Callithrix jacchus: one gene and its partners. The protein of the gene in region 2 binds, or shares a complex with, the protein of the main gene of each other region. Links are inferred from orthologs where the notes say so. Each region holds a gene or a part of one and is shown on either strand. Other genes may lie near its edges. The genes, in order: ETFB, ACADM and ETFA.

The links.
Region 1: the proteins of ACADM (region 2) and ETFB are in contact, whole or in part, in a crystal structure (PDB 2A1T), measured with the Homo sapiens proteins. The link is inferred for Callithrix jacchus from reciprocal best matches to the Homo sapiens genes ACADM and ETFB. Residues at the interface, in NP_000007.1 of Homo sapiens: Glu43, Gln44, Lys46, Glu47, Phe48, Thr51, Lys54, Phe55, Glu58, Glu59, Arg80, Glu83, Leu84, Gly85, Leu86, Leu98, Leu100, Ile108; in NP_001976.1 of Homo sapiens: Glu73, Arg76, Thr77, Tyr192, Ala193, Thr194, Leu195, Pro196, Ile198, Met199, Lys202.
Region 3: the proteins of ACADM (region 2) and ETFA are in contact, whole or in part, in a crystal structure (PDB 2A1T), measured with the Homo sapiens proteins. The link is inferred for Callithrix jacchus from reciprocal best matches to the Homo sapiens genes ACADM and ETFA. Residues at the interface, in NP_000007.1 of Homo sapiens: Pro163, Lys173, Pro211, Gln232, Arg235, Glu237, Val251, Glu253; in NP_000117.1 of Homo sapiens: Arg223, Lys226, Arg249, Asp253, Ala283, Ile284, Gln285, Glu304.

Annotation. Positions count from the first base shown.
Region 1 is NC_133523.1:44,943,258-44,950,730, reverse strand, and holds part of ETFB (electron transfer flavoprotein subunit beta), read left to right. Parts: intron 1-2,246; coding exon 2,247-2,405; intron 2,406-2,958; coding exon 2,959-3,117; intron 3,118-5,137; coding exon 5,138-5,200; intron 5,201-7,473. UniProt on the Homo sapiens protein: Heterodimeric electron transfer flavoprotein that accepts electrons from several mitochondrial dehydrogenases, including acyl-CoA dehydrogenases, glutaryl-CoA and sarcosine dehydrogenase.
Region 2 is NC_133508.1:112,937,352-112,945,624, reverse strand, and holds the start of ACADM (medium-chain specific acyl-CoA dehydrogenase, mitochondrial), read right to left. Parts: upstream 4,503-8,273; 5' UTR 4,470-4,502; coding exon 4,440-4,469; exon of another isoform or gene 4,423-4,439; intron 535-4,422; coding exon 447-534; intron 1-446. UniProt on the Homo sapiens protein: Medium-chain specific acyl-CoA dehydrogenase is one of the acyl-CoA dehydrogenases that catalyze the first step of mitochondrial fatty acid beta-oxidation, an aerobic process breaking down fatty acids into acetyl-CoA and allowing the production of energy from fats.
Region 3 is NC_133509.1:24,696,867-24,704,834, forward strand, and holds the start of ETFA (electron transfer flavoprotein subunit alpha, mitochondrial), read left to right. Parts: upstream 1-3,087; 5' UTR 3,088-3,129; coding exon 3,130-3,168; intron 3,169-7,968. UniProt on the Homo sapiens protein: Heterodimeric electron transfer flavoprotein that accepts electrons from several mitochondrial dehydrogenases, including acyl-CoA dehydrogenases, glutaryl-CoA and sarcosine dehydrogenase.

The DNA of each region.
Region 1 (7,473 bases), on a different chromosome or scaffold from region 2:
TAAGTGGCAGTTAGGATCAAAACCTGGGTAAGTCTGGCTTTAGACTGCTCTCCAGTCTCCACTCAATGCCCCCTGTCCTAATACACCTCTGGCAGCACATGGCAGGGATGTCACCTTCAGCCCTTTTGAGACACATTCCTCTTGGGGTCCTGGGACCCGACACTTGGTTTCCTCCCGCCTCTGACTGTTCACTACTGTCACGTCTTTGGACTCCGAGAGCTCCCTGGGCCTCCTCTCTCTATCCCAGCCCTGGCCTTTCCTGCCTGGCATGTCTGGGATTGGATCTGTTTCCCCTACGATGCAGGCCCATGTTTGACTCAGCTCTGGTCCCAGCGTCACTCAGCACAGAGCCTGGCACATGGCTGTCTCTGGTGTGCTCAGGGAAGCGTGAAGGCAGCGTTGAATCAGCTCCTGTCTTTTCCACAGTGGGGTGCTGCCTTCCTCTCTCGAAGTGCCCCAGGGCTCCGTGACTCACTGGATGTGTCTGTTGATGTCCTTTTCAGAACAAATAAATGATTCAGACCCTGCCAGCTTCCTCAACACCAGATTCGAACTGGGCACTGTCCCATCCCTTTCCCTTCTCCTCCCAAAGCTGTCAGTTCTCCACCCCTCACCCTTCCCGCCCTATAGTCCCTTGGTCTCATTGTCTCGCTGGTTCTCCCTGACTCCTAGTCTCTCCCTCTCAGCCCACCTCTACCCAGCCGTAGGGGTCTTTCTGCACCTAGAACTGACCTTGCTTTCTCCTGATCCCAGCTTGCCTGTGGCTCCCCAGCACCCTCAGGCCAGAGTCCCAGCCCCTCTGCCTGGCATTTGGGACCCTTTGTGATTCGGCCTCCTGTTCATAGTCTGCTTCAGCCATCCATGTCCCTCCTTGGACCATCCCTTACCCCTTGTGTTTCCGCCACTGCGACATGCTCCTCCTGTCTTGACAGAGGAGGCTGTGGCTCACTCATTCCATGCCTTATTCCAGCACCACCCTCCTATCTCTGCTGCCTGTCCTTTGTCCTGCCCAACTTCAACCCATGGATTATATCAAAATCTAGTGATTCTCGGCTGGGCATGGTGGCTCATACCTGTACTCTCTGCATTTTGGGAGGCCGAGGTGAGTGGTTCAGTTGAGGTCAGGAGTTCAAGACCAGCCGGGCCAACGTGGTGAAACCCTCTCTCTACTAAAAAAAAAAAATTAGCCAAGCATGGTGGTGGTATACCTGTGATCCCAGCTACTCGGGAGTCTGAGGCAGGAGAATCGCTTGAACCTACCCTTATACTGCAGTGGCATTTGTGAAACAGGTCAAGGTCACTGGTCATGTTATCTGAGGTGTTATCTGACCTCATTGTCTCACAACCAAGAGAATTAAAGAGCATGAACCACCCAAAGCATGAGTTTGGAGCCAAAGTTTAATAAGTAAAAGAAGAAAGGAGGGTAGCCCAAGTGGGTTGCTGTTTTTACAGTTGAATCCAAAAGCTTTTGTAAGAAACTCCTGTCATCTCTGCAGCTGTTTGAGTATCTTATCTGTAAAGCTATCTGTATAACTCCCTTATCTATGTAGTTGTGGGTGTGTCTCCAGGCAAGCCCAAGGGTTTGTTTCAGGTAAGCCCCGCCCCATCCCTTTGCAAGTTCCCATGGAGCCCACCTTGTATATGCCTGAAAAGGAGAGGGAACTTTTCCTGGGAGCGCATTAATCACACAAAGAACAAAAGCAGGATCTGTGCTGGATCCTGCCTGCTTATCTGTGCAGCTGCAGCCTGAGTTTTCTCCAGGCTGCTCTACTGTTGCCTGTAGCTATGATTTTTCAGGCAGGCTGCTTCTCCGAGTACCAGGCTTTACTGTCTACCTAACTGATTTTTCCTTTTCTTCTCCTCATTTGTATTTATTTATCAGTGTGTTATGTCTTTATATACACTTGGGGATATGGAAAAATGCACCTCTCACTCTGGGTAACCGTAAATACTGTAAATTTGAGAACCACTCTTTCAGGCCTGATAAGGAGCAGTGACAGAGTAGGGATGATCATGTCAGATGTCCCTGGTACCCAGGAATGGCTGGATGAGAGGAGGAGAGAGGGTGACCTGCCCCTGCCTACAAGCTCTAACCCAGCTTGTCCCTGAAGCTGTGTGACCCTGGACAAGGCCCTGCCCCTTTCCAGACTGTTGTCCCCTTCTAACCTGGGAGAGAGATGGCACGGAGGCCCCCACCTTCTGGCCTGTTTCCTCCTGACCCCGCCTCCTGCCCTCCTGCTGAGCAGATCCGAGTGAAGCCTGATAGGACGGGTGTGGTCACGGATGGTGTGAAGCACTCCATGAACCCCTTCTGCGAGATTGCAGTGGAGGAGGCTGTGCGGCTCAAGGAGAAGAAGCTGTTGAAGGAGGTCATCGCCGTCAGCTGTGGGCCTGCACAGTGCCAGGTGCTGAGTCTGGGGAGGGCCTGGTCTCCTGGGTCTGAGGGAGGAGGGGCTGTGGGCCTGCACAGTGCCAGGTGCTCAGAGTCTGGGGAGGGCCTGGTCTCCTGGGTCTGAGGGAGGAGGGGATGGGGGCCAGACTCCTGGGTCTGAGGGAGGAGGGGCTGAGGGCCTGGACTCCTGGGTCTGAGGGAGGAGGGTCTGAGGGCCTGGACTCCTGGGTCTGAGGGAGGAGGGGATGGGGGCCAGACTCCTGGGTCTGAGGGAGGAGGGGATGGGGGCCTGGACTTCTGGGTCTGAGGGAGGAGGGGATGGGGGCCAGACTCCTGGGTCTGAGGGAGGAGTGGATGGGGGCCTGGACTTCTGGGTCTGAGGGAGGAGGGGATGGGGGCCAGACTCCTGGGTCTGAGGGAGGAGGGGCTGGGGGCCTGGACTTCTGGGTCTGAGGGAGGAGGGGATGGAAGCTAGATTCCTGGGTCTGAGGGAGGAGGGGATGGGGTCCAGATTCCTGGGTCCCTCTGGGGATAGTAGCCAAGTCAGGCTCCTCTGTCCTTGGCAGGAGACTATTCGTACCGCCCTTGCCATGGGTGCAGACCGAGGTATCCATGTGGAGGTGCCCCCGGCAGAAGCAGAACGCTTGGGTCCCCTGCAGGTGGCTCGGGTCCTGGCCAAGCTGGCAGAGAAGGAGAAGGTGGACCTGGTGCTGCTGGGCAAGCAGGTAGCTGTGGTCAGCCCCTCCTTGTGCCCCGGCTCATCCCTGCTCAGGAGGAGGGTGCTGGGGATGTGGGATGGGACAGCAGGTGGCCAGGCCCAGGGCATTCAGCCACTCCAGGCTGAGCAGCTTGGGACTTTGCTGTCCCTTCTGATAGAGAATTTGAGTAGGGAGGACAGAGTCCCTCTAGGTGTTAGATCCTCCTGGGCCAGGCACGATGGCTCATGCCTTTAATCCAGGCACTTTGGGTGGTCAAGGTGGGCAGATCACTTGAGGTCAGGAGTTTGAAATCAGCATGACCAACATGGCAAAACACTGTCTCTTCTAAAAATAGAAAAATTATCCAGGCATGGTGGCAGGCGCCTATAATCCCAGGTACTTGAGAGCCGAGGTGTGAGAATCACTTGAACCTGGCAGCCAGAGGTTGCAACGATACAAGATCACCTGGGGGCAGAGTTTCTTTCAAAAAGAAAAAAAAGAGAAAGATCCTCTTGGGTGAGTTTAGAGACTGGGAGACTAAGGTGATGGTCACTTGGGGAGAATGAGGCCTGGGCCAAACCTGATGGGACAGAGCAGAGACATGATATGGCAGGAGAGACTGGGCTTAGCCATGGGGAGGGAGGGCAGGGAGGAGGCAAGGACAGTGCCTGGGTCTGCCTCAGTAACACAGGTAGGAAACCTGGGAAGAACAGGACGTTACAGGCAGATCCTACATGGGGCGTGTGAAGAGCCCAGGAGACATTGATATAGGTTCAGGAGACTTGAGAATTTTGGAGGGCACTGGGGAGCTATGGGAAGTCTATGAGCAGAATAGGGAGGGGATCAGCACTAGATGCAGAAAGAGCCCCCTTGGGCTTCGAGAATGGACTGGAAGCAGAGATTGGAGGCCAGGAATTAGTGAAGAAGGTTAGGGCTGGGTGAGGACCCGACCAGAATCTCCTCTGCCACACTGGTGCTCTCCACTGGGGCAGAGGTGCATGGGGCTCATCTGTTCCCTCAGAAGACCCTGGGACACCATCCCTCCTCAGGGGATCTCATGTAAATCAGGTGCTTCAGGCACAGCTTGATCCAGAGTCCCACATGAGCTCTAGGCTCCCCTCTATCTTGGCTTCAATGTCTGCATCTCCAGGCTCAGATCCCACCAGCCCAGTGACCCCAGCAGAAAGAAAGGAGCCTCTTTGCCAAGGGCTCCAGCAAAGCTCCCAGGGTTGACTCTTCTTTGGTGCAGCTTGAGTAATGTGCTCCTCCCTGAATCAATCACTAGGATTAGGGCTAGGAGGTCCTCGCCAGCCCAGATCCTCTTCATCCAGCTGCCCAGGGGCCACAGGGCAGGACTCCTGAGAGGCTTTATACAGAGGGCAGAGATTTGGTGACAGGGATGCCATGTGGCCCCACATGCCCCTGGACAAGTGGCTGCTTATCTCTGGGCCCAAGTGAGGGGATTTAGACATAAGTCAATGAACTATGGCCCATAGCTACCACTGATTTATAAATAAAACTTTATTGGAACATCACCACATAGGTTCATTTACATATTATTTATGCCTACCTGTGTGCCACAGCAGCAGAGCTGAGTCATTGTGACAGAGACTGTATGACCTGCAAAGCCTAAAATATTTACTACATCTATTCCACCATAGAAAAAGTTTACCAACCCGCTGGGTGTGGTGGCTCATGCCTGTAATCCTAGCACTTTGGGATGCCAAGGGGGTGATGATCATCCGAGGTCAGGAGTTTGAGACCAGCCTGGCCAACATGGTAAAACCCTGTCTCTACTGAAAATATACAATTTAGCTGGGCATGGTGGTGCACGCCTGTAATCCCAGCTATTCAGGTAGCTGAGTCAGGAGAATTGCTTGAATCTGGAGGCAGAGGTTGAAGTAAGCCGAGACTGCACCATTGTACTCCAGACTGGGCAATAGAGCAAGACTCAAAAAGAAGAGAAAGAAAGAAAAACTAGACAAAGACCCGAATGGTCCGTGAGCTCCATTGATCGTCATACAGTCTTCTGTCTCTCCCCATTCAGGCCATCGATGATGACTGTAACCAGACGGGGCAGATGACAGCTGGATTTCTTGACTGGCCACAGGTGAGGCTGGAGTGGGGAGCACCTGCTGAGGGCCAGGCCCTCATCCCTCCGACTTCATTTCTGCCTCAGGCCCTGTGCATTTGCTGTTGTTTCCCTAGAACACTGTTCCCTCAGATTGCCTTGTGGCTTTCTTGTTCCTCTCCTTGAGGTCTCTGCTGAGGTATCACTTCTTCGAAGGGGACTTTCTTGCCACCCTACATGAAATACTCATGCTCACCCCCGCAACTCCAGGTTCCCCAATCCCTATCTATGCCAGTCCAATAGAAATGCAGGCTAGAGCCAGGCACTGTGGCTCACGCCTGTAATCACTGTACTTTGGGAGGCCGAGGCAGGCGGATCACTTGAGGCCAGGAGATCGAGACTGCAGTGAGTCACGATCATGCCAGTGGGCTCCATCCTGGGTGAAAGAGGGAAACTGTCTCAAAAAAAAAAAAGAAACATGCAAGGCAAACAGGCAAATTTAATTTTTTTCACAGCCACATAAAAAGTAAAAAGAGAAAAGAAAAAAAAAGAACATAAAAAAATTTTTTTTAAAAATAAAGTAAAAAGAAACAGACAAAATTACTTTTAATAATATTTTATTTCACCCTACTATGTCTAAAATATTATCATTTTAACATGTAATCAACATAAAAAATATTAAGATCCATCTGCTCCACCAGCACTGGGGTTATGTCCTGACAAACCCATCATAAACTGGAAGTATTATAACTCAAAGAATGCGTTCAATATACTTAATCTCCCAAACATCATAGCTGAGCCTAGTCTACCTTAAACATGTCACAACACCACCGTTAGCCTATAGTGGGGTAAAATAATCTAACATAAAGCCTACTTTATAATAAAGTGCTAAATATCCCATGTAATTTATCGAATACTGTACTGGAACTAAATGGAATGGGCCGGGCGCGGTGGCTCACACGCCTGTAATCCCAGCACTTTGGGAGGCTGAGGCGGGTGGATCACGAGGTCAAGAGATCGAGACCATCCTGGTCAACATGGTGAAACCCCCTCTCTACTAAAAATACAAAAAAATTTAGCTGGGCATAGTGGCGCATGCCTGTAATCCCAGCTACTCAGGAGGCCGAGGCAGGAGAATTGCCTGAACCCAGGAGGCGGAGGTTGCCGTGAGCCGAGATCGCGCCATTGCACTCCAGCCTGGGTAACAAGAGCGAAACTCCGTCTCAAAAAAAAAAAAAAAGGAATGGTTGCATGGGTACTGGAAGTATGGTTTCTACTGAGTGTTTACCATTGCCATGCCATTTGAAAACTGAGAAGTCTTAATTCACTCCATTGTTAGTCAGGGACCACGTGTATTTTACGTATTTTGGATTTTCATTGTATTAAGTCTTCAAAATTCAGCATATATTTTATATTTACAACAAATCTCAATTCATGTGCTAAATTTTTTTTTCTTTTCTTTTTTTTTTTTTTGAGACGGAGTCTTGCTCTGTCACCCAGGCTGGAGTGTAGTGGCACGATCTTGGCTCACCGTAACCTCTGCCTCCCAGGTTCAAGCGATTCTCCTGCCTCAGCCTTCTGAGTAGCTGGGATTACAGGTGTGTGCCACCATGCCCAGCTAATTTTGTGTTTTTAGTAGAGATGGGGTTTCACCATGTTGGTCAGGCAGGTCTCAAACTCCTGACCTCATGATCCACCTGCCTCAGCCTCCCAAAGTGCAGGGACTGTAATTCCATGAGCCATATGCCTGGCCAGGTTCTAAATTTCCATGAGAAACACGTTCCTAGAGATGACAGTTGAAATAGATTGATACACCCAAATTGTTCAAAACAAACTTAAAAGATTTCCAGTAACTGCATTGGGTATCAGTTTTTTGTTTTAAAACAGCTTTATTGAGTTATCATTGACCTATAATAAACTGCACATATCTATGTTCTACGATTCGTTAAGTTTGCTTTTCTTAAAAACGTTTATTTAGAGATGGGGTCCACTATGTTTCCCAGGCTGGTTTTGATTTTCCGGGCTCAAGCAATCTACTCATCTCAGCCCTCCAAAATTTGATAGGTTTTGATATGTGTTCCATCCATAAAATCATCACCACAGTCATGATCATGTGTCTTGAATATCAGTATGCATTTATTTATTTATTATTTTTTTGAGATGGAGTCTTATTCTGTCACCAGGCTGGAGTGCAGTGGCATGATCTTGGCTCACTGCAGCCTCCACCTCCTGAGTTCAAATGATTCTCCTGCTTCAGCCTCCTGAGTAGCTTGGATTACAAGTGTGCATCACCATGCGTGGATAATTTTTTT
Region 2 (8,273 bases):
TCAGGAGAACTTCATCTAATAGGACCGAAATTGCAGTTCAGATATATTAAAGCAAAAACAAGCTTTAGCTTATTACCATGCACCTAGCATTGTAATCTAACAAGTGTTTTAAAATGCATTTGTGGCATTCAAATACATAAGTTGAAGACTATTCATATATATCAGCAAATCTCATTTATTTTGGGCTAAACATTTAGAAAAAAAAGGAAGGAACATAAGAAGTGTATATATGCTGCTAACACAGATCTAATATATAGTGTAGTATACTAAGAAAGAAAATGAGATCAGGAAGAATGGGTGTGATTAACCGTGAACTATATATGGACCGTGGACTGGTTCTACTCATTTAAAGACATTATTAATTTTATTTACAAACAAATTCCAAACAAATACATAGAGCTTCATATATATAAGTTTAAAGTCAAAAGATAGAACAGAACATATACCAAAACTAAATCCTAATCCTGGTTCACGTTGTAGAGCAGATTTTGTATGCTGTGATCGCCAATGAAAACGAGAAATACTTCTCAGGACCTGTAAAGAACACTTTTATTAAAATACATTTGATAAGTTTAACATCAATCAGATAAGAGAATACTGATAATTATGTGAGTACAGCAACTTGTTTGAGGATACTCATAGTTTTTACAGTCATCATTATTTAAATGCTTTCAATCATAATTTAAGTAAGCCAATTACCGGCTATCTAAACTCCTATCATAGAGGAGATGTTTTTAAAAAGTAATGAAAATAAAATCAGTGGTATTAACACTATTGAAGTGGAGGGTTTCCAGGACAAACAACAGTTAAGGGTAGTAGTAGACGTAGGACCACTATTCTGGGTGTCTTACAAGCTCCTAGGACATTGATGATTGGAGAGTTGGGGTGGGGAGAATAATAGGCTGGAAGTGAACATACTGTGTTCAAGAGTTGCCTAGTCCATCAACTTTGATACCCTGTCCCTGTAAGCCTCCCATGCATGCCTCTGGGAACCTTCCCCTCAGAGGATTTCATTTTTTAGGATACCCCACTCTTAACAAAACAAATTAGCATAAAACCATGTTCTGTATTTTCTGCTCATTGTCTACAGGCATTGTTACAATGTTCTAAGGAAGGAGTCACCAAACTATGGCAGCCAATAGTTTTGTAAATAAAATTTTATTGGAACAAAGCCACATCATGCTGTCTATTGCTGCCTTCACAGAAGATCTAAGTAGTTACCACAGAGACCATATGGTTCACAAAGGCAAAAACATTTACTATCTGCTCCTTTACAAAAAATATTTGCCAACCCTGTTCTAAACTACTAATACACTACTTGTCTTAGGATCTGAAATATATTCATATTTCTTCAAAGGAGCATATTTAAAAAATCAAATATACATATATCATTGCTTTGCATTTTTATATTCATGACAGTTTAATGGATACAAAAGTAAACATTTGTATTTATTAAAGCTGCCAGACTGGAGACCACAATGGTCTTCCTGAGTAAGGGTTTCGGGACAGCCAAAATTATACAATTTTCACTGTAAAATATTTTGATTGAACTATCTGGCAATTTTAATAAGCTTAGATACTAAGAGAAAAGAGAAGCTGAAGAATATACTAAAGTTTCTACAATTTAACTTATGTTTTTCAAAATCTGTAAAAAGAAACTGTCTTTGTAGATGACAATTTCAACTTATAAAGAGAATTTCCTACGTGTAAGGTGACAATATTATTGTCAAATATTTGTAACTGAAACAGAGCTTTCAAAATAACATACCTCATACTATAATTTAAAAAGACCATGAAAGCTCACATTTTCTTTGCAACTTCATTAGTTTTATTTTGAAAGTTAAACAGTTTCTCTGGTCTTCATTGTCCAGTAGTCACAGACCAAATCTATTCTTGTTTACAGTCACCTTAGGTTAATTCACTGAATCCCAGGTCAAGCCTATGATTAAGTCATTATTTTTATTCCAATTTCACATGTGAGGAAACGAAGCCTCAGAAAGTCAACTAAATTAGGCAAGTTACTCTACTCTTAGTGCAACCAGGATTCTAACATTTACTATCAAGAGCGCATGCTATTTAACCACCTTGCCATACTGATCTTTCTATTGGTCTCCTAATTGGTCACTAAGTTCCATAACAAAGAAAAACTTGCCACAAAAATCAGAACAAAAAAACCCGACTCTATTATACATATGCTTTTGAATACCATACACAAATGTCAGAACTCAAGCCAGGTTAAATGGTCTACTGAGAATTTTGTTTTTTTTTTGACAAGAGTTTCCCTCTGTCACCCTGGCTGGAGTGCAGTGGGGCAATTTCGGCTCACTGCAACCTCGGCCTCCTGGGATTACAGGCATACGCCACCACGCCCAGCTAAGTTTTCATATTTTTTAGTAGAGATGGAGTTTCCCTATGTTGGCTAGGCTGGTCTCGAACTCCTGGCCTCAAGTGATCCGCTGGCCTAGGCCTCCCAAGGTGCTAGGATTACAGGCGTAAACCACCGCACCTGGCCAACCGAGATACTTTATTTTTTGAGACGGAGTTTCATTCTTGTAAACCATGCTGTAGTACAGTGATGCAATCTTGGCTCACTGCAAACTCTGCCTCCTGGTTTCAAGCGATTCTCCCGCCTGAGCCTCCTGCGTAGCTGGGACTACAGGCGTGTGCCACTACACTCGGCTAATTTTTGTTATTTTTTTTAGTAAAGATGAGGTTTCACTATGTTGGACAGGTTGGTCTCCAACTCCTGACCTCAGAAGATCCGCCTGTCTCAGCGCCCCAAAGTCTGAGGCCCAAGAGACTTTAAATAGGGGGAAAAGTCACTTCACATATGACTGTTCAGGAAAATATGTTACATAGAACGAAGTGCAAAGGTTGCTATTACCAGAATACAATGCCCATCAATTACATAACAAAGTTAGCCAGTTAATTAAAGAGGTGGTTTACAAATAGAAAACAGATATATCACGGGATGTGGACTTAACAATTGCTGAATTTGAATCGAGGTTTCACAGCTACAGTTGTGGCCTTAGATTACAAACTGCCTATAGCTTCCATTCAAACTGAAAAATAGGGCTAATCTCACTGTGTATGTTGGGATGTTTAAAATAAGATAATGTTTTCAAAGCCTAATGCTATATAAATATTGGTTTTATTACTACTATAATATTGGTTTTATTATTGCTCTCTGTCTAGAACAACGGAATTTTAAACATCGAAACGGCACCACTAGAATTAAACATTTTGTGCATTTCTTAGAAATATATGAGTGTGGCCGGGCGCCGTGGCTCAAGCCTGTAATCCCAGCACTTTGGGAGGCCGAGGCGGGTGGATCACGAGGTCAAGAGATCGAGACCATTCTGGTCAACATGGTGAAACCCCGTCTCTACTAAAAAATACAAAAACAAAAACAAAAACAAAAAATTAGCTGGGCATGGTGGCGCGTGCCTGTAATCCCAGCTACTCAGGAGGCTGAGGCAGGAGAATTGCCTGAAGCCAGGAGGCGGAGGTTGCGGTGAGCCGAGATCACGCCATTGCACTCCAGCCTGGGTAACAAGAGCGAAACTCCGTCTCAAAAAAAAAAAAAAAAGAAAAAAAAAAGAAAGAAATATATGAGTGTTAGTTTTATGAGTGAAAGAAGAAAAAAAGGATGTAAGTTTTCTATATCAGGTTTTTTAGCTCCTTCCTAGGAGGCTGAGAAATCTACTTTTCTGGCGATGGAGTTAAAAATAGCTAAAATCTTCCAATTTCTGCCTTCACTGCACATTAACCTGTATAAAAGCAGCAAAATATGGACAGCAATTCTTTAGGATTATTCTAAAACCGCAGCTTTTTTGGTCAAAAACATAACTTTAAGTGACATCTAAATGGCAGTCATGTGAACATACCAAGAATATTTAAGATCCCCAAATGCATCTAGTGACAAACCTATTTAGACTCTGTAAGACACAATACTAGAATATATAGACAAGTTCACATAAATTTCCGCGGTTTTTTCTTTTACCGTTTTTTCCCGTAAGCAAAGTGGACGCGTCCTCCACCATATTACACAACTAAAAGCTTATTAAATATATTAAGTATCTCAAGGAGTAGCTGCTCCATTTTCCTTTTTCCCGAGGTTCTGACACAGAGACAGGTTCACTTCGGAAAAAGGTGGGTAAATATTTGGAGGGTTCCCGGGCCAGAAAAAGAAAAACGATATTCTAAAGAAAGGATGCCGCCTATAAAGGGGTCTGCTGATGGGAGGATACGGGAAAATGAAACTTCGGACTACGTTCCGTCCCGTGGTAGGAGGCATGAAAGTAGGGCCGGGGTCCCCTAGGCGGGCTCCTTCCTCTGACCGGCTTCTCACTCCTCCAGGCCGCACTTATTTTTGGCCCATGACCACACACCACAATACTCATGCCCCAGCCCCACCGCAGCGCTGGGCTCCCTCTCACCCTGCAGCATCGCACGAACCCCGCTGCCATGTTGGCTCCCGTTCCGGCCACTCGGATAGTAACACCCAGGTCAGTGCCTTGACAGACTCCCCAAGCGCAGGCCCCCTCTAGACCCGCCCACCAGGGGCCGTGGGCGGGGCGGAAGTAGGCGGCTGGGCCGCCGAAGGAAGGGGTGCAGCTCAAGTAGGGTAGAAGGGGTCGCTGGCGCCGGGTTTCCAACGCCTGCTCCGTGACGCTGACCTGCGCGATTGGTGCGACTTAAGGAGCTGGTTCACCCCCTCTCCGGGCGGTCCCTCATAAGCCGGGTCTAGTTCTCTGCGTTCCCATGTTTCGCCCTCTCTGTGGGACGCTGAGGCTGACAGCCGCCCCGGGGGAGGTGGAGCGGGGGAGGGGCCGGTTGCGGGGCTGGGAGAATCTGCTGGCGCCCAGCGGTGGGGGACTTGCGGCGCGGTGCAGCACGGGAATCTGGGTGAGAGGGCGCGACGAGGGCCTGGAGGGAGAGGCGCTCCCGTGGTTAGCCCTGACCTTCACCCAGAGAGGACGGTCAAACCCAGATCATGTCTCCTTGGCGGATTCAAAGTACTAAAACATTTTGTTCTCAAACACTGGCGGATGTTTGTATTTCATTAGAATTTAAAATAATTTAGTTGCTTGGGTAAATTACACCTTTCCGCATATTCCCGAGGCTGTTTATTACTTGTCCACTGGTGTGGATGTGGTGGTGTTGAATCCGGGTGCAATATGAGGCTGTCCAAAGTTCCTGGGTTAGCGAATGATGGTTGGAAGTGAATGTCTCCCTGAGGAATTTACTTGAAGTCACTCTCTTCCAGTGAGACCCGGAGTTTTGATATGTAGCTGGAATGTTTTAAAATGGGTGTCTGTAAAGCTGTCCAGGTTTGGAGACCTTGTTGTGGAAGCTAATGAAAGCCCAAATGCGAGCCTGCAGTGTAAATGTTTCCCATGTTGCTCAGGACTTTGCCTTTTCATTGCTGCCATCCTAGTTTAGGCCTTCAGCACTGCACCCCTAAATCTTATACCACCTTAACATTTTATTTTGCCTAATAAAGATCACCTATTAAATTCATTCTAATTTGGCTGTTAAATTTCTATATACTAAGATTGTATTTCCCTACTTTGTCCTCTGGGAATTTATAGTGTGTTAATTCTGGGTACAAGGCAGAATATTAATTAAGTGCTGTATTCAAAGCAAAAATAGGAAAATTCAGAAAAGGGATAAAGAGCTGAGTTTGTCCTGGTGGGCAAGAAAGGCTTCAGAGTGGTAAGTAAAACACAAAATGGACTCTTAAAGATGAATAGGAATTGTCTATGCATGTCTTCTTTGTTCGAATTTCCTATTCTGAACATTTTAAACACAGAAAAGGTGAACGAAAAGCACAAAATCACCCATATGCCTATTGTAACTGCCCAATAGATTCACCTTGCCCACTGCCTGGACAGAGCCCTTTTATCAAGACAGGGGTATTACAATGAAGAGTAGTTAACACAGAGGCTGTGTGGGAGATGGGAATTTTATTATTATTAAAATCAGCCTTCCCCAGCATTTGCAGATCAGCGTTTTTAAGAACTTTTTTGGTATAGGGAAGCCAGTGAGCCAGGAGTGCTGATTGGTTAGTAGATGAAGTTACAGGGAATTGAAGCTGTCCTATTTCGAAGAGTCAGTTCCCAGGTGGGTGCCACAAGATCAGATAAGCCAGTTTATTGAGCTGGGTTGTGCCAGCTGATTCATCAAGTCCAGGGTCTGCATAATATCTTAAGCACTGAACTTAGGAGCAATTTAGGGAGGTCAGAATCTTGTAGACTCCAGCTGCCTGACTCCTAAACTATAATTCTAATCTTGTGGCTAATTTGTTAGTTTTACAAAGGCAGGCTAGTCCCCAGGCAAGAAGAATATTTGTTTTGGAAAAGGACTGTTAACATCTATGTTTTAAACTATAAGTTCTGTAACTGCCCAAGGAGTTCACCTTGCCTGCTGCCTAGACAGAGCCTATTTATTAAGATAGTAATTGCAATAGAGAAAGAGTAATTCACACAGAGCTGGCTATGCAGGAGACCGGAGTTTTATTATTACTCAAATCAGTCCCTTTAAGGAAAATTTGGTGTTGGTGGTGGTGGGGGGCAGTGAATCAGGAGTGCTGATTGGTTGGTTTAAGGATGAAATCATAGGCAGTTGAAGCTGTTCTTTTTTGCTGAGTTACTTCCTGGATGAGGGCTACAGAATTAGATGGCACATCCAGGTGGGGCCATCTGGTTGTTAGACATGCAGAAACCTGAAAAGACATCTCAAAAGACTTAGGTTCACAATGTTACTTTCAAGACTTACTGGGGTAGTTGGCAAATCTTATCACCTCCAAATAATGGCTGGTAATATTTAGAGTTCCAACCCCTCTCATCTTGACTTGGTAGCTGGCCTTTCATTTGTTTTACAAGACTAGTTTAGCCTTTTGGGAAGGGTTATTATATAAACTATACACTAAATTCCTTCCCAAAGGTTTCTTGGCCTATGCCCAAGAATGAACAAGTATAGTTTATAGATTAGAAGCAAGATGGTCAGTTAGGTCTGATATCTTTCACTGTCATAATTTTCTCAGTTATTTCTGCAAAGCTGGTTCCAATCCCTCCCAAAGTGAGTTCAACCTACGCCTGGGAACAAACAAGGACAGCTTGAAGATTAGAAGCAAGATGAAATTGGCTAGGTGAGATCTCTTTCACTGTCTCAGTCATAATTTTGCAAAGGTGGATGGATTATTGAAGCGGCTACGTTGTCTAGGGGATATACCTGGGGTTCATCATTGCGTGCTAGGAAAATTGGGGACATGGACCCACACGAAGATTTTAGGAGTGGAGGTTTAATAGGCAGAAAAGAAGATAAATAGAAATATCTCTGTCTATAGAGAGGGGCTCTGAGTGGAAAGCACCTGCAGGTGGTGGATGCACTGAATTTTCTGGTCAGGTTTGAGAAGGTGGTGTCTGATTTATAGAGGGCTCACAGATTGATTTGATCAGGTCTGATGTTTACATAGTACATGGGGAAGGTTGGTTGCTGTACCCTAATCTTATGCAAATGGGGTTTCCAATTGATTGGCACTGTCTTGTCTGCTTCTTACTATACATGTGATTGGCAGAGAAGGGAAGAGGGAGCCACCATCTTGAACATGTCTAGTCCTTAGCTCCTGCCAGCATTCACCCTTGCAAACTCCCAACTTGGCTGCCTATGTCTGCAGCTCAACTTTACAGGCTGCTCTTCATTAGAAAATGATTTGGAGCTGCTTTTCATGAAAAAGAAAAGCCTTACCAAGGACTCCCATACCTGTACTATCTGCCTAAATAATTTCTTCTTAACTCCTTTATCACTATCACCTAGGTTCAAATATTTTTCCATATTTATATATTTATATGTGTACAAGTATAGTTTATAGATTAGAAGCAAGATTATTCAATACTATTGTTTAATGTCCAGGCAGTATTTACATTTCTCCAGTTGTCCAGTTGTTTCCAAATTACCTTTTGTATATAGTTTGTTTTTGAACCAGAATTCTATGAATGATTGCCCATTACAGTTAGGCTTTAACTTTCTTTGGCTTCTTTTAATCTAACTAATTTTTCCCCAAAATAACTGTCATTTAAAAAAAAAATTAAGATACCAAGCAGTTGTCATGAAGAATGCCTGTTAAAACACACACTCTGGATGAAGAGATCCCCCTAAACAGGCTTTGTGTGAGCAACATGGCTGTTTATTCACCTGGGTGTGGGCAGGCTGAGTCTGAAAAGAGAGTCAGTGGAGGGCAGTGGGATAGGCGTTGGTTTTATAGGTTT
Region 3 (7,968 bases), on a different chromosome or scaffold from region 2:
CACAATCTCAGCTCACTGCAAACTCTGCCTTCCAGGTTCAAGTGATTCTCATGCCTCAGCTGCTTGAGTAGGTGATATTACAGGAACATGCCACCACACCTGGCTAATTTTTGTATTTTAGTAGAGATGGGGTCTCACCAGGCTGGCCTCAAACTCCTGACCTCAAGTGATCCACCTGCTTTGGCCTCCCAAAGTGCCAGGATTAGAGGTGTGAGCCACTGCGCCCAGCCCATTGGACAAATATTTCTACAAATGCTCCATGAAAGTCTGCAAATAACCCAATAATAGGCTGGGCACGGTGCCTCATGCCTGTAATCCTGGCATTTTGGGAGGACAAGGCAGGTGGATCACCTGAGGTCAGGAGTTTGAGACCAGCCTGACTAACACGGAGAAACCCCATCTCTACTAAAAATACAAAAATTATCTGGGCATGGTGGTGGCCACTGTAATCCCAGCTACTTGGCAGTCTGAGGCAGGAGAATCGATTGAACCTGGGAGGTGGAGGTTGCAGTGAGCTGAGATCGCACCACTGTCCTGCAGCCTGGGCTGCAGAGTGAGACTCTGTCTCAAAAATAAAATAAAATAAAATAAATAAATAAAATAAAAATAAGTAAATAAAAAGAAACCATGGGTCCTGCCACCAAAGCAGCTCATAACGGAGTGGGGAACTCATATACCTCTAGGGAAAATCCGCTAATAGAAATTTCTTAGCACACACATTTCTCTGGTATATAACCTGCATATGACTGTAGAACCCTGATACCCCTTCATCCCAAAGCCTCAGAGGGTGTTTCACGTGTGATCAAAACAGGTCTGGTCAGGTGTCACAACTTTGCCCATTTTCAGCCTCTCCCTCGGCTCTGACCTGCTCTGCCAGGAATCCCAGGGACACCAAGCTTCTGCTGTGCACAGCTGCTGCTGATTCCCCCCTAACAACTCTCCCCTTTTGTGTTTCGCTTTGTCCTGGGTGAGGAGGCAGGGAAGGAGGTGAGTTTGTATCTCGGGTTTTTAACATGGTTTTCAGTAAAATATCCTTTTCCATTTTTACTAAAAGGACCCTTCCCTCTTCCTTCCACTCCCATAGGTCTCAGATTCTAGTTCTGTGGGGGACTGGGTTAGGAGGCAAATGCAGTGAGACATGGAATGCTAAATTGTCCCTCCCACAGGCAGATTTACTGGGGGGCAGGGGTCCACAGCTCTGTCCGCCACATGAATTCAGACATTTTTGAAGTGGCTGCTTATGTTTAAGATGAATCCTCACCTCCTTGTTCACAGAGCTAGAAGAGTGAGAAAGAGGAAAGAATTAATTCATCCTGGAGAATCGAGAAAGCTTACAAAAGAAATGTCACTTGGGCCAGGCATGGTGGCTTTGTGCCTGTAATCCCAGTACTTTGAGAGGCTAATGTGGGAGGATCACTTGAGGCCAGGAGTTCAAGACCAGCCCTGGGTAACAGAATGGGACCCTGTCCCTACAAAAAAAGAAAAAAGAAATGAATAGCTGGGCATGGTGGCACATGACTATAACCCCAGCCACTTGGGAGGCTGAGGCAGCTCAGCTTGGGAGGATTGCTTGTTCCCAGGAGCTGGAGACTGCAGTGAGCTGTGACGGCACCACTGCACTCTAGCCTGGGAAACAGAGTGGGACCTTGTCTTGAAACAAAATAAAAGAAGAATTGTCACTTGAGCTGGGTTTGAAAGAGGCTTGTCAGATGGGGAAGGGAATTTCCGACAGAGGGACGACCAGAAAATCACAGGGCCCTTAGCATGCTTGTTGGTTCAGACAAGACTCTTGCTCCAGGGGATTTACACTCCAATGCAGGGAGATCAGCAATAAACAGATAAACAAGTGCATCCCGTTAGGAGTTGATAAAAAAAAGAAGAAAAATCAAACAAGGTGACAGGGAGTTTGGGAGGGGCCTGGGTGCTATTTTAGGTACAGAGGCCAAGATCAGCCTTTCTGTAAATGCAGTTTTTGAGCAGAGACCTGAATGAAGTGAGGACGTACACCACGCTACAGGAGCAACAAGGGAAGAGCATTTCAGGCAGAGGGAACAGTCAGAGTACAAAGCTCTTGAGAGGAGCAGGCTTGTGGGCTCAAGAAGGCCTGTGTGTCCGGGGCACGGTGAGAGAAGAGGGTAGTGGGAGGACAGGGAGCCATCGTAGGGCTTTGAGCAGCGGTCATGATCAGTACATCAGTTTGGAGAAGAGCCTTCTGGAAGCATGGGTAGAAACATAAAGACTAGCTAGGAGGCTTTGCCATGATCCAGGTGAGGGATGATAGGGTCCTGAGTGAAGGTGGTTCTGGTGGAGGAGTAAAGGGTGTTGGAGGAAATTGCTGGATTCTGGTTATCATTTGAAGGTAGAATCAAAGGGATTTGTTGATAGACTAGATAACATTGGAAAGGTACGTTGTTGCTGAATTGGGAACTGAGACAATTCCCGAACATATCAGTTCCCTATTTAACAATGTCGTGATGAAGTCCGGACTCATCAGCAGTCATTTATTCATTTGCTGATTCATTCAACACATACTGATTAAATGCCTACCATGAGCCAGGCATTGCTCTAGGTGTTGCAGATAGACACCAAATTTAAAAGCAGGACATACTTTCTGCCCTTAGAGAGCTTAGATGGGTGAGTCAGACAAGTACCCAGGTCATTACAACCCATGTGACAACTGCTACCATGGGGAAGGACAGGGGGAAACGGGCATATAGGAAAGGTATCTAATTGGAGTTAGCATGGCTCCACTCATATGTCACCCCGAGGTCAGCTCAGTTTTGAGGTTCACTCTAACAGTGTCGCCCATTGCGGGGCTGGGAGACAGTACAGTCTGAGCTCCGTCATCAGCTGGGTCAGTCTCCGCAGCTCCGCGGCCCCGGCTTCCTCGAAGACCCCAAGGGAACAGCCTCACCTTTGCCCCACTTCCCAGTCTAGCTCCTAACTTCCTGCCCTCCATTGGCTGCGCGACCGCCCAATGGGCAGGCGGGAAATGTGGGTTCGCGCTCCCGGCCTAGGGCGTCCGATCTCGTTCGCGCGTCTCGCGAGCGTTAGGTGACTGGAGGGGGCGGTGCCGCTCGGCCGGGCACCGGCTGCTGGGAGGCCGAGGTAGCGGCGGGCGCGGAGACAATGTTCCGAGCGGCGGCTCCGGGGCAGCTCAGGAGGGCGGTGAGTCCGGACAGGGAGGGCGAGCCCAGGGACCGTCTCCCCTCAACCTGCCGTCCCTATGGGATCTTGCAAAGGTCCCCGGCTCCCTCAGGCCCGACCAGCCCTCGCGCCCGCCCGCAGCTTCCGGCCTGGGGCTTGTTCCAAAGTTCTGGGGCCTGCCCTGGACTCCTTCCGGGCCGCCAGGTCGGGCAGAAGTCAGAGGTCGGGGGTCCAGGTGACCCCGAATGATGTGAATTTGCGCGTCTGCTGCCCGTCCTCCTGGCCCACTGTCTGCCCTGCCGCTTCCCACCTTTCTCAGTCACTCTGGGCACTTTCGGGCCGCCAGGTCCTCCACATTTGTTCCACACCCGAGGGAACAAAATGTCGCCGGGGAATGCCCTGCTGGGGAAAGTTTAAAACCTGGATTCCTTCCAGAGGCCGACATTTCTGGAAGAAATAAACACTTTGGGCGCGCTGTGGCTGCTCCGACCACTCACTTAGGGCCGGGGTGGGGTGGGGTGGGAGGCGGCGTGGCTGGTTATGGCAGCTGGCTCTGCTTTCTGGCTTATGGAACAGGGCTGAGTTTAGGTGATTGCATGTGTAAAACCTGTGGTCTGATTTGACAGCTTTAGCTAATTTTCAAAGGCCGACGTCTTTTTATATACTGACTTGCTTTTAACCAGCATATTGTAGGTTAAATAGCCAGGTAACTGGTGATAGTGGTACATTTTCGGTGTTTCATTAGTGACAAACCACATTTCTCTCTTCCCTGTGAGAACGACTGATAGGAAATATATTTTCGTTCTCAATGGAAGAGTAGTATTTGGAGACCAGTCATAAGTCAAGTAATAATTTATATTGTGGATTCTGTAGTTTTCCTAATTTACATTTAGGCGAAAGGAGAAAGAAGATTGGTAAACTTGGGTCAGAAACTTACCTAATGGTTTGTACCTTTTCTAATTTTTTTTTTTTTTTTTTTTTTTTTTGGTACATGGATATTTTCCCCATTCACTCCTGGGATTTTTCTCTCTGAGGTATATCTGGAGCTCTTTCTAGATGTCTGTAGACATTAGACTCTTTTTTTTTTTTTTTTTTTGGAGACAAGGTCTGGCTCTCTTGCCCAGGCTGCAGTGGAGTGCAGTGGCACGATCTGGGCTCACTGCAACCTTCACCTTCCAGGTTCATGCGGTTCTCCTCAGCTTCCCAAGTAGCAGGGACCACAGGTGTGCATCACCACGCCTGGCTAATTAGTTTTCCTGTATTTTTTTTTTTTATCGAGATGGGGTTTTGACATATTGCCCGGGATCCCGAACTCTTGGCCTCAGGTGATCCACCTGCCTTGGCCTCCCAAAGTCCTGGGATTACAGGAGTGAGCTACTGCACCCGGCTTTAGACATCCTTTTTTCTTGTGTATATTCCTTGTTTGATAAAAAGTCCTGACCCCTGACTCCACCTTCCCCTAAAGAGTTTAAACCCATATGTTTCAGGTTAGTGTCCTGTCTTCCCCTCAGGACATGTTCCCCCCTCCCCTTAGGGGATCTAGACATAAACAAGTGAAAGTCATGAATTTGGGAAAATTCCAGGAACCAGAGCCAGACTTACGGAAGAATGCTTCTCTGTGCAACAGTTGGAAAACAATTCTGTGGACAGATTACAAGTCTGGTCTAAGTGAAATTATAATTGTGGTGGGGGATGGAATTTAGGACTCAGCAATTTTGTAGAGCTAACAGAAAAAAATGGAGTGATTAAGTAATTCTTATTATTCACACCGTTGGCTAATGTGTATAGACATGACTTCCAAATATTCATTGTGGTTTGCCGAGGACTTTGACCTTGACTTGCTTTTAAAATTTGAAGTCAAGCTAAGTAGAATAGCTGTTTTAAAGTCATTAAGAATGTTTGAGAGATTTGAATTTCTAGCATGAAAGAAATGGTGGCAACACTTCTAAAGTGGACACATGTTACTAGGTACATATACCTGGTATTTAAGTTTTTAAATTTTGAAACAGTTGCACTTATAGAAAAGTTGTAAGAATAGTAGGAAGAAGTCTCAAAACCCTTTCCCTGGTTTTCCCAGCGTGTTAGCAGTTTGACACATTTGCTTTATCTTTCTACATATATACATAATACTATCTTTCTGAACCATTTGAAAGTACGTTGCAAATGTGCCCTTTACTCCTAAATAATTCAGTGATGTTTTAAAAGAACGAAGAAGTTCACTTTCTGACTGCACTGTAATTGGCAATATCTGGGAGTTTCACAATAAAATACTGTTTTCTAATCTACAGATGTTCAATTTTGCCAGTTGTCTCATTAGTACTGTTTATAGCAATTTTCCTTATTCTGGTCTAAGACACCTCAGGTGCCCTGCATATGGTTTTCATGTCTCTTTACTCTGATAGAAAGGTTCCTCAGCCTTCCTTTGGGTTTACATATTGGTGTATTTGAAGACTACAGGCCTTCTATTTTCTTTTTTTTTTTTTTCCCCCAGGCCTTCTGTTTCTAGACTGTCACTCACTTTGGGTTTGTCTGGTGTTTCCTTATGATTAGATTCAGGTCATATATTCTTGGTGGGAATAGCACAAAAGTGATACTGTGTTCCCTGTGCATCATGTTAGGAGGTACTTAATGTTGGTTTATCCCATTAGTGGTAATGCTAACTTTAATTACTTAGCCAAAGTGGTGTTTGCCAGGTTTCTACACTGTCAAGTGAATACTCCTCCTCTTGTAATTTTTAACTAATTTGTGAGGAGATACGTTGAGACTATGTATGTAACTCTCCTATTTTTCATCTTTTTTTTTTTTGAGACAGAGTCTCTTGCTCAGGCTGGAGTGCAGTGGGGCTATTTTGGCTCACTGCAACCTCTGTCTCCTGTTTTCAAGCAATGCTCGTGTCTCTCCCTCCTGAGTAGCTGGGATTACAGGCACGCACCACCACACCCAGCTAATTTTTGTATTTTTAGTAGAGACGGGGTTTCACCATGTTAGCCAGGCTGGTCTTGATCTTCTGACCTCTTGATCCGCCTGCCTTGGCCTCCCACAGTGCTGGGATTACAGGCGTGAACCACTGTGCCGGGCCTCTGATCAGACTTTTACCCACTGTTAGCATCTGTTGATTTTTGCCTGATAAATGATTACTATGATGCAAAATAGTGATTTTCTGTTTCCATGACACCTTCTACATTTTTTAGTTGTTCTGCTGTACAGAAGAACATTATCTTCTTGCATATTTATGGATTTATGGATTCATGGATCCTTATTTAGTAGGTTATAATCCATTTCTACCTTATGTTCAAGTTGTCTCATTTATAAAATGGGAGCCCGTTCAATCTGACTCCTGTTTATTTACATATATATATTTGCTCTCACAGGGTCAAATAGTTTATCTCAAATCCTCACTCTTAAAATTAAAAAAAAAAAATTGTTCTGTAGGTAACTGTTAATGCATATTTGAAGAGGATACATTTCCAAAACTGTATTTAAAAAAATAAAGTTAGGAACTCTAAAAGATTACCACGGGCTGGGGCAGTGGCTCATGCCTGTAATCCCAGCACTTTGGGAGGCCGAGGCGGGTGGATCACGAGGTCAGGAGATGGAGACCATCCTGGTTAACATGATGAAACCCCATCTCTACTAAAAATACAAAAAATTAGCTGGGCATGATGGCGCGTGCCTGTAATCCCAGCTACTCAGGAGGCTGAGGCAGGAGAATTGCCTGAACCCAGGAGACGGAGGTTGCGGTGAGCCGAGATCACGCCATTGCACTCCAGCCTGGGTAACAAGAGCGAAACTCTGTCTCAAAAAAAAAAAAAAAAAGATTACCATAAACTGTTAACAGTGTGAATATAGTTAACACTACTAAATTATACACTTAAAAATGGTTAAGATGGGGCCAGGCATGGTGGCTCACGCCTGTAATCCGAGCCCTTTGGGAGGCCAGGTAGGTGGATCACCTGAGCTCGGGAGTTTGAGACCAGCCTGGGCAATATGGCAAAACGCCATCTCTACCAAAACAAACAATTAGCCGAGCTCCATGGCACACACCTGTATTGTAGTCCCAGTTACTCAGGAGGCTGAGGCACGAGAATTGCTTGAACCTGGGAGTTCGGGGCTGTAGTGAGCCCAAATAGCATCATTGCATTTCAGCCTGGGTGACAGAGTAAGTAAGGCTCTGTTTCCAAAAAAAAAAAAGATGGTAAACATTTTGCATATATTTTTTTAACCACAGTTTGTTAAACGGTTAGTATAAGTTCGGTGACTTGTATTTGGAATGTAAGTTTTCATTTTCAGTTTTGACTGACTTGTGCCATTGAGCAAAGTTTTTCATTCTTGTGTGTGTGGAAATGGTCCTCAAAGTCATCTGTTAACAAAGGTCGTTTTAATATCTAATAAAGAGCTAGAGAACACACTGAGAGGAAAATAAGTAGGCATTTGCAGTTAATATTCTTACAGGGATAGTAATCCTAATTATTATTATTTTATTGATTTGCTCTTGAAATTGATTTATTGATGAATAATAAGATGCCAAAAAATATTTTTGTGGTGAGTGAAGCAGCACTTTCAAGGTCATTTGACTATTCTTGTCATTGTTCATTGCCAGGTGGGAAGGAGTATCTATCAGGATTGAGAAACTGCGAAGCTGGTGTGAAGGAACATGACATTTTTCTGTCTAGTATTGATGAATAAGATTGAACTCTGTAATTTGCATGCAAATTTAAATTTCTCTTGAAAGAAGAAAGTAAGCCAATTTTGGTGTGGTTCTAAAAGAAAATTTATTGCATAAGGTGAATTCAGTAAAATTATGCCTGCCAATGTGTCTAC